Coturnix japonica: one gene and its partner. The protein of the gene in region 1 purifies or fractionates together with the protein of each later gene. This does not show direct contact. Links are inferred from orthologs where the notes say so. Each region holds a gene or a part of one and is shown on either strand. Other genes may lie near its edges.

Region 1 (4,351 bases):
CATGCTGTGAGTGCCATTCCTCATCGTCGGCTTTATGCAAACTCGGCTGGAGTCTCTGGATAGCACTGCCATCATACAAGTCATTAACAACAGCGCTAATGAGTTCCATTACGCCAGGCTGGCTGCCCAGAGCGCCCCAGGACAGCCAGGCCCCAGGAGCATAAGCCTGGGAGTCTGGGTCTCTGGCCCCAGCGCTGACAGGTGTCAGCACACAAATCTGCTTCCACTTACAATAATTCCTTTGTCACTTACAGAGAAACTGTCAATGAAGAGCTGGAGGCAGTGGGAAAAACAGGGTCGTCCCCCCACAACTGAACCCCTTTTCCTCATGCTATCAGGTTTCCTTCCAGTCACCCCCAGCTTCTCCTTCCAGTAGGGCAGGATGTTTCTAGCCGGCCCTTTTCTAGCCAAACCCACAGAGAATCAAGTCTTGCAAGAGGGAAAAAATGTGATCCCCACTGGAGAGCTGTTCTAAGGAGGACTCCCTTGGGCCGCAAGGCGCTTTGCAACAACTCCAAGGACTGTTTTTTGTCTGAAGATGTGCTTTTATCTGGAATGGCAGATGACAGGTTCTTCTTGCCCAACCAAACCAAAGACCCAAAGATGCATCTGGGAAGATCAATCCTCCAAACAGCCCGGCTTCCACTCAGGCTTTCTCCAGCTTCCCTGCTCTTGAGTGCCCCAAAAAGCCAGGAGGCTCACAATCAGGACTCGGGCATCTGTGGACTCAACTTTAAGCCTGCTGGGCTGTAAATGCAGCAGCTGGTACCATTTTAAATTAGAGACTTACATTCACTTAACGATGTATTCAGCTTTGATTTACTGAAGGAATTAGCTCATGTTAAATGAATACAGGCTGATTATTAAACAGACGCAGATTGCAACCTATCATCTAAGCAAGCGACGGGATCTTATTACAATATTAGAACCATACTGAGGTTTAGCAACTGTCAATTGCTCCTTTGCAATTTGTAATGAGGAACTGTTCCGCTGCCACCCGCACTCAGACACACTTTGCTCAATGCCTGAGCCAGACCGACTGCAGCTGTTTCAGGGAAGGTCCCTCAGTAAAGGGCAGAGCTGGGTGACACTCCCAGGACATGCAAAGCACCACCTCCCCCAGCCATACTCACCCCAAAGGGTCCAGGTCCTGCCCACCAACAGCAAAGGGATTCAAAGGAGAAGGCCTGAAACAGCACACAGTGAATAAGACTTTCAGTGAAGGGCTGACTTCGTGCAGCCTCCAGCCAGCAACACAATGACAGTCCTTGCACTTTTAGAAGGAGTATCTTGCACCCTAAGCTCAAGCAGACAGCCACCACGGTGTCTCTGACTTCCAGCCAAAGGCTTGCAGGGGAACAGAGGGGAGAACCTGTCTGCCATATACCACAGCGCTGCCTTTTCCCCTGCTGTCCCTGCTCCACCAGCCCCCAAACCCCGATGGTCCCTCAACCAATACAGAGGTAAAGTTTGTGCCAGGACCTTCAGTGGAAACCCGCTGCTCACTCACCAGGATGGTGCTCTCACGCCTGCAGGGTGCCGGGGAGGGATCCTGAGGGGGTTAAAATCCTGGGGTGAGACAGGATCCTTCTTCTCTGCCTGTGAATCCTTCTTGGCCTTCTCTGTGGGAACCCCAAGGGGAGAGATGATACTTGAAACAATCCTTGTCCTCAACTCTTCCATGTTCTTGTACACCCTGCAGGGAGGAGAAGCAGTGTGGTGGGACAGGAAGGCCATGGCACTCAGGTGCAAAGGTGCTGGACAGGGGTGGTGAGAGGACAGACATTCTTTTGGCATCCCTGGCACAAAACATGTACCCAGCTGGCACCCTAAATTTGTGCTGGAGAGAAGAGTCCTCCAGGTTCCTCTTAACCTTATCTCTGACCCCATCTGTCCCCCTCCCCATGCTGCTGAGACTTTTTCTCCTGCAGGAGATGTCAGAGAACTGAGATTACTTGTGGAAATCATTCAGGTGCTCTGGGTTGATGTAGTCAGCCACCGCCAAGGTCACGTCTGCCACCTTCTGCGAAGCACGATCCTAGTAAAGACAGGAGAAGCATGATGTTAGCAGCCAGGCAGAGGGCCATCCCTATGGGACAAATGATGCAGGAAGGCAGAACAAGTAGCAGCAAAACATTTAAGAAACTGGCTCTACTGTTCTTCGCATGTTGGACAGTAGCAGACACTGCATCTGAAAGGACTCTAATTCCTGCAGCAATCAGTTTGGGTGCTCACCATGACATTGAGGATCATGCTGTCATCCACCACAACGGCCTTCAGCAGCAGTTCCCGGGCATCATCTGTGGACTTGTAGCGCAGTGTATACACCTCCTTATTGGTTTCCCAGCCAGCAGGCAGCAGCTCTGACTTCCTTTCATCAGGACCTGGCTACAGGAAGACAAACAGGGCAGTAAGACCTGCTAGCAGCTAGAACAGGAGGGCACACAACCACACCTTGCTGAGCTGAAGGCAACAAAGACCCCAAGCAGGAGACGGTGCTCTCTATCACTCATCACACCCATAGCTCCCAAGCATTGGGGGGCTGTCTGGGAGACTTTACTGCCAAAACAGTGCAGTGCAGCCCAATACAACCCCCCAGCACCACCCCAGGCTCCCCACCCCCTATCTGAGCTCTGGTACCCCTGTAACAACAGCCTCCCCAAAGCACCAAACCCCAACAACACATCGCAGCCGCATCGTTGGCCGGTACCGGGACAATCCATAGGGCCCATCCACAGGGCCCACAAGTCCTTCCCTCCGGCAGCAGCTGCCGGGTTGGGCCGCGCGGTGGCGGCGTGAGTCGCTAGGAAAGGCCGAGGATCGGCGCGGCCTAGCGGGGCCCAGAAGCGGTGCTGCCCGCCCCGTACCTGCTCTCCGGCGCCGAGGCAGCGGTAGCCGTGCTGGATCAGCTCCCAATGGATGCCGCAAACCAACGCATCCTGCGGGCAGGAGATGCCGGCTTGAGCCGAGCAATACAGCAGCTCCAGCCCCGCCATGGCCGCTCCGCTCCGCACCGAGCAGGCGCGGCCAGACTAGGCCGGGCCGGGCCGGGCCCTCCCCTTAACGCCGAGCCAGGCCGGGCCGGAGCCGCGTCCCCGGGCTGAGCCGGGCCGGCCCTCACTAGGGGGCTCCCGTCTGCTGCGCAGCGACCGGAGGAGGCCGCGGGGATGGGGTGGTGAATTGAAATGGCCGCCGGGGGCGGGGGGAGGTGGGGAGAGGAGGTGTTTGTATTGCTGGGCTGCCCCGCTGCTCCCCTTGCAGGCGGCGTGTTGGATGTGGCAGGGCTCGCTGCTGTCCATGGGCTGGTTCCTGCCCTGCTTCTGCTCGCTAAACCCAGGCTCTTTCTCACCTATAGCATTACGACCTGAACATTTACTGCCCCAGTTAGTAAAAGTCTAAAAAACCTGCATCTGTGCTCACATGCACCCCTGTACTGAGCGCTTCCCTTGTTACCTGCACGGCAATGAGCCACTGTCTGGATAAAGGAGCCCTGTGCCAAGGAAAGGCATCATCTGCTGCTTTCCCAATCTCATCTCCAGCTCCTTGGGGATGCTCTGATTCATATTGACTTCACCGTGCGTCTATTAATTAACTTGCACTGTCCACTCTTTCCATTTCCCCCTCAAGAAGTCACTGAAGCTGAACAACTGACCGCAGCCCGTCCTGCTGCTCAGCACTGAATCCCGTGAATCATCTCCCTGGTGGCTGTGGAAACGTTGCACCTCTTGCGAATGGAGTCCCAGCTCCATGGAAGACCTTTGTGGTATGAGATGGTATGACAGAGCCATGCAGGGTGAGCCTGCACTGACTTTCTGGCTCCATTTTGTTGGACAGATTTAACCAGGATGAGGTTAAATGCAGTGCTGATCCCAGCCTTGCATCAACCTGGGGTCTCCTTCTGCAGTCAGGGTCTGCACGAGACCTGACATCTGCACTGCAACTTCATTTATTTTCCCTTCCTCATATCAAAAGTGCTTCCAGCTCCGTGCAGGCACCAGCAAGAGCTGATGGGTCTTCCCATCTACATCTTCCTGCCCAGAGGCCACGTTCCCACCACAGCTGTGCCCATGCCTCATTGCTATTAAACTGAAGCTGCATTTGCAGAGACTGTGTTGCCCCACTGCCACTGCCTGGTCCACTCAGTTCCTGTCCCAGCATCTGGCTTGCTCTGTGGCTCTTTGGTGCTGAAAACCGCTGGCCAAATGCAAGTAGTTCCCCTCACACCAGTCCTGCAGCCTGCAAACAAAGTGGGAGGCAGCGGGCAGCACAGCTGGGACTGGCAGCCACATCCTTAACGAGGTGACGAGGGTTGCAGGGCCGGCTCATTAGTGCTGCAAGGCAAGCGCGTCAC
Region 2 (4,230 bases), on another chromosome or scaffold:
CTTCTCTAATCAACTCTTTCTAGTAGAGGATGCAACTAACCTACTGCCATTCATGCTAACTATTTTCTTAAATACCTACCTGCTTTTTTTTTTTTTTTTTTTTTTTTTTCTTCTTTTGCATACAAAATTCCCTTATCTATATAACATTAAAAACAGATTGGATGCATGTAAATATTATGGTAGAGTTCAGTTTTTCTGAATGATGATTCTGGGAGCACAAATTAAAATCTAGTAATATAGTCTCTGGATACACTTCCTTGTTGCTCAGTTTTCGCTAAGAATCAGAACATGAATTAGTTTTGTGTAAAAAATACTCACAAAGTGATCTGGACAAATCTTAAAGAACCATCTGAACATAAATTTTTATTTTTGATATTATGAAATAAAAATTTATGGTGTGTTTCAGAAATTCACAGAATCACTGAATTGTTATTTGCCTAAATTCTTATTTGCCTAAATTCTTATTCGCCTAATGATAACATAAAACATTAGAAAACAGACATAGAAAAGATCAGTTAGTTTGTATGTCACTTTTTTTAGACTTTTTATTTTCTTCATTGGTTATGGATGGTTAACATTTGACCTGTGTGGCTGCTAACTTTACTAATATACAAGCAGACTGATCCAACTATTGTAGTTTCCATTTCATTATCAGTAACTTTAAAAGACTTCTACTTTAAAAAAAGTATATTTAAGCCTCTTTCTTTTGTGCAGTTTGTTTCTACATAACCCTACAGACACTACACACTTAAGAAAGAACCAGAAGAAACTAATGGTACATATACCCACCATAATGTTCAAGTATCTAGTTCTGCATGTTTAAAAGTAGCAATGCATAAATTTAGTGATCTTTTCGTTACCATTCCATCTTGCAAGTTGAAAAGTACTTCAGCATTATTCAAGGAATAAAGTAATTACATTACATGTTCTCATTTTGCTTTCCACATCCCATTGATTTTTAAAAGTACTGGTAAATGCATTTAGGTTTTGATCTATAGCAATTGTTTCTGTTATTCCTAACAGCATTACAGGATTGAAGAATTTCAATTTCTAGGATCATAGAAGTCAAATGACTAACAAAAAACAAACTCTTAAGATGCGAAGACTGAGACAATTGTAGACACTCAGAAGCAGAGCTGTTTGAGTAAATCACAGTTCATCCCCCAAATCGAAGACTGTTCTACACGCCTATGGAAGTATGTTTTACACCAGAGCAACCCATTTTAGGAAGTTACTTAATAATTACACTAAATTCCAAAGTGAAAAAATGCTCTTGTATGCACAGAGTTTAGAAGTTCACAATGGCTAACGTGGAAAAAATTTTCCTCAACAATGAAGATACCAAAATCTCAGCTTCCTAGAGACAAACAAAAAGACGCACACACTTTCCCGCAAAACAGAGGCCTTCAACCTTTATTATTTTGCCTTTTTATGTGTTCAGTATAACTTTACATTTCGTACAGTATTTGGTGTACAAACTTTCCATGTACCAAGGGGAAGAGTAATCTGTATTAAGATTCAATTTATTACAACATCAGGACTGCTGCATTTTCACCCATGACATTTAAAAAATCTGTCAAACCATGTAGAAATAAGTATGCAAAAACTGCAAAGAAAAACATTGAAGGAGCCAAAATTAAAAAGACCTTAGTGTGAATTCTCACAGTCTTACTTGGTTTCTACTAGGCTATTGCAGCCAAGTAGTCCTTAACCTCAGTTGGAGTTAGCCTCCTAAAACCGGCTTCATTACATATGCCAACTTCAATGTTGTCTTCTGTCATTTGCCCTTCAAAGCTCTCCTATTAAAGAAAATATAGTTCAGTGAATCATTTCAATGATATTGCAAGAGTAAGATGCATATTCTTTACATGTTTTCCTAACCTTTAATGTTAAGATAGCTGTATGAATGGCATCTTCAAGCTCCAAATCTTCATTGTATCTGTAAAAAGATCACATATTTCAGCACAGTACAATCTTTCTGAATCCTACTAAGTCTAGAACTTCTACAAACTCAAACAGTATTCAAGTCTCCAAGTAGTTGTATGAACTGCTATATTAATATTCAAAACAGTTATCATTATTTAAAGAAATCACTAATGCTGCTGATACTGTGTAGAACAATGCTTTTGCAAATATATAAACACACTGCTTATTGTACTGGATTAATTAATCATATACACAAAAGTTTAACATGTTAACATGGTAATTAGAAACATCGTGTCATAAGCATTTGAAATCTTTGTACCATTAACTCAAAAGTATATATATTTATATTTTCCTGAGTCTTTTATCTGAAGCCTGGAAAAAGAGATAGTATTCTTTTAGACATTATAAAAATACACATACCTTTTCTCAAGAAATGTTTTTCCATTGACGTAATTTTTTCCCATTGCTGTTGCTTTCCAAGCAAAATAAGCTCCCTGTAAAAACAACAATCTATTGTTTTTTCTAATTCAGTCAAACATTACATATCCAGTTGTTTGGTAACAGGTACAGAAGCCATTAGAAAAATTCTGAATGTTATGCAAACATGTGAGGTTATTTTGGGTTACATTCACACTAATTTGATGTGAAAACATTTGCTATGGAAACATATAAAACACTCTTATTGGGCCTTGCTGATAAATTAGAACTGCCAATACTTTGAAAAATAGATTTAGTAAGTTGTTATCATAGTTTGATTTGGGATTCGTTGAACAGAAACTCTATCCTTGAGAATGAACAGTCAGTTCTTTCACGAGGCTCATCTCATATATAAATAAATGTATATATATATTTATAGGTATATGTATGTGTGTTTATGCACATACACAAATAAATACATGTGTATATATGCATTTCAAAAGACTTGATACACAACAGCCATCTGATTTATCTTAGCTACTACCAAGGTATTTAGCCATTGGGCCTGTTCTTTCCTGTGGCATAAAGACAATCACACCCTATCTATAGCTCAATCAAGATGCCTTACACAAGGCATTGTATTTTGTTTTTTACATTTGACCATCGGGCAGTGACTCACACTTCTGAAACTTATTGAAGATCATGAGAGTAACAGATATTTTAATATGATGAAAAGTCTGGTAACTTACATGGAAATCAACAGGTAATTTTTAGTAAAGACACTGTTGTAACACAGCAAATAAACTCACATAAACTAACCACTGCCACTAAATCTGAAAATATTTGCATCACATTTCACAGTGGAACAGACTTTGGCCTAATTTTGCTACAGCTTAGAGAATAACTATTTGAACTGCATATTTGAGGTCAAATACTTTTTCTTGGTACCTGATGCAGAATGCCAGAATGACTGTTGCTGTTACTACCAAGCAGGTAGGAAGAGATGAAAAAGGGTGGTGATGTCCTTCAAAAACTGTTGCCATTCCTCATGCAGTCATGCATAAATATGGAGGCACAGAATAAGCAAGCAGGTGTCACCCACTTCCTAAACTTCCTTTGGCACAACAGCCAAAACTCCAGGCACATTCCCAGCATGAATCATTCTGACTTCTGAATTCTGGTTAAGGAATCTTTACTTCTAGCCTTCAAACCACAAAAAGTATTTCACAAGCACATACGAAATTTTAGATATTTTACAGAAGCAGTTGAATTTACAAGTGTAAGATACTTACAGATGGATCTGACTGAAATAAGTAGGGCCGCCCCTCATTCCAGCCACATATTAGCAGTGATACACCAAATGGACGAACACCTCTACGTAAAAATAAAAAAACACCACACAAACAAAAAAAAAACAACTCAGAGCAGGCATGCTAAATTCATAAATGTATTGAATGAACACCAAAGCTGCTTTACTGCGGATGCATCAAATTTCCCCAAAGGCCTCCCACCAGCACAGAGCTGTTATCATGACTAGTCAACCAATTCAAGATATAACAACTATCTCACCCACTGCAGCTATTGGTCCTCCTACTCACCCACTTTCTATGATCATTTTCCAGTGAAAAATATCTGCGTTTTTGACATTAAAAATTAATCACCAGGTAGTTGTCATACTTTACTGTTCTAACTACCTGCAAACTTTGGAAAACCACATACCCAGACTGCGTATATTCCTGCATCACAGAAGCAATTCTTTGTACTAGTTGAGCTGTTGGAATAGGCTCATGATAAACCAAGAAATACTGCTGGGCCAGCTTCCGTGCTCTGTGTACAAGTACTCTAAAAACAGAGACAAAATTATTGTATTAGAAATCAAACTATTTG

What was found.
Region 2: the proteins of PSMF1 (region 1) and PSMA2 purify together in Homo sapiens (affinity purification with mass spectrometry; 3 studies listed by BioGRID and IntAct, with this or other methods). This does not show direct contact. The link is inferred for Coturnix japonica from reciprocal best matches to the Homo sapiens genes PSMF1 and PSMA2.

What each region holds. Positions count from the first base shown.
Region 1 is NC_029535.1:9,160,930-9,165,280, reverse strand, and holds the start of PSMF1 (proteasome inhibitor PI31 subunit), read right to left. Parts: upstream 3,090-4,351; 5' UTR 2,997-3,089; coding exon 2,868-2,996; intron 2,389-2,867; coding exon 2,236-2,388; intron 2,039-2,235; coding exon 1,956-2,038; intron 1,697-1,955; coding exon 1,511-1,696; intron 1,188-1,510; coding exon 1,134-1,187; intron 1-1,133. UniProt on the Homo sapiens protein: Plays an important role in control of proteasome function. Inhibits the hydrolysis of protein and peptide substrates by the 20S proteasome. Also inhibits the activation of the proteasome by the proteasome regulatory proteins PA700 and PA28.
Region 2 is NC_029517.1:74,583,049-74,587,278, reverse strand, and holds the end of PSMA2 (proteasome subunit alpha type-2), read right to left. Parts: intron 4,186-4,230; coding exon 4,063-4,185; intron 3,718-4,062; coding exon 3,636-3,717; intron 2,421-3,635; coding exon 2,347-2,420; intron 1,940-2,346; coding exon 1,882-1,939; intron 1,800-1,881; coding exon 1,683-1,799; 3' UTR 516-1,682; downstream 1-515.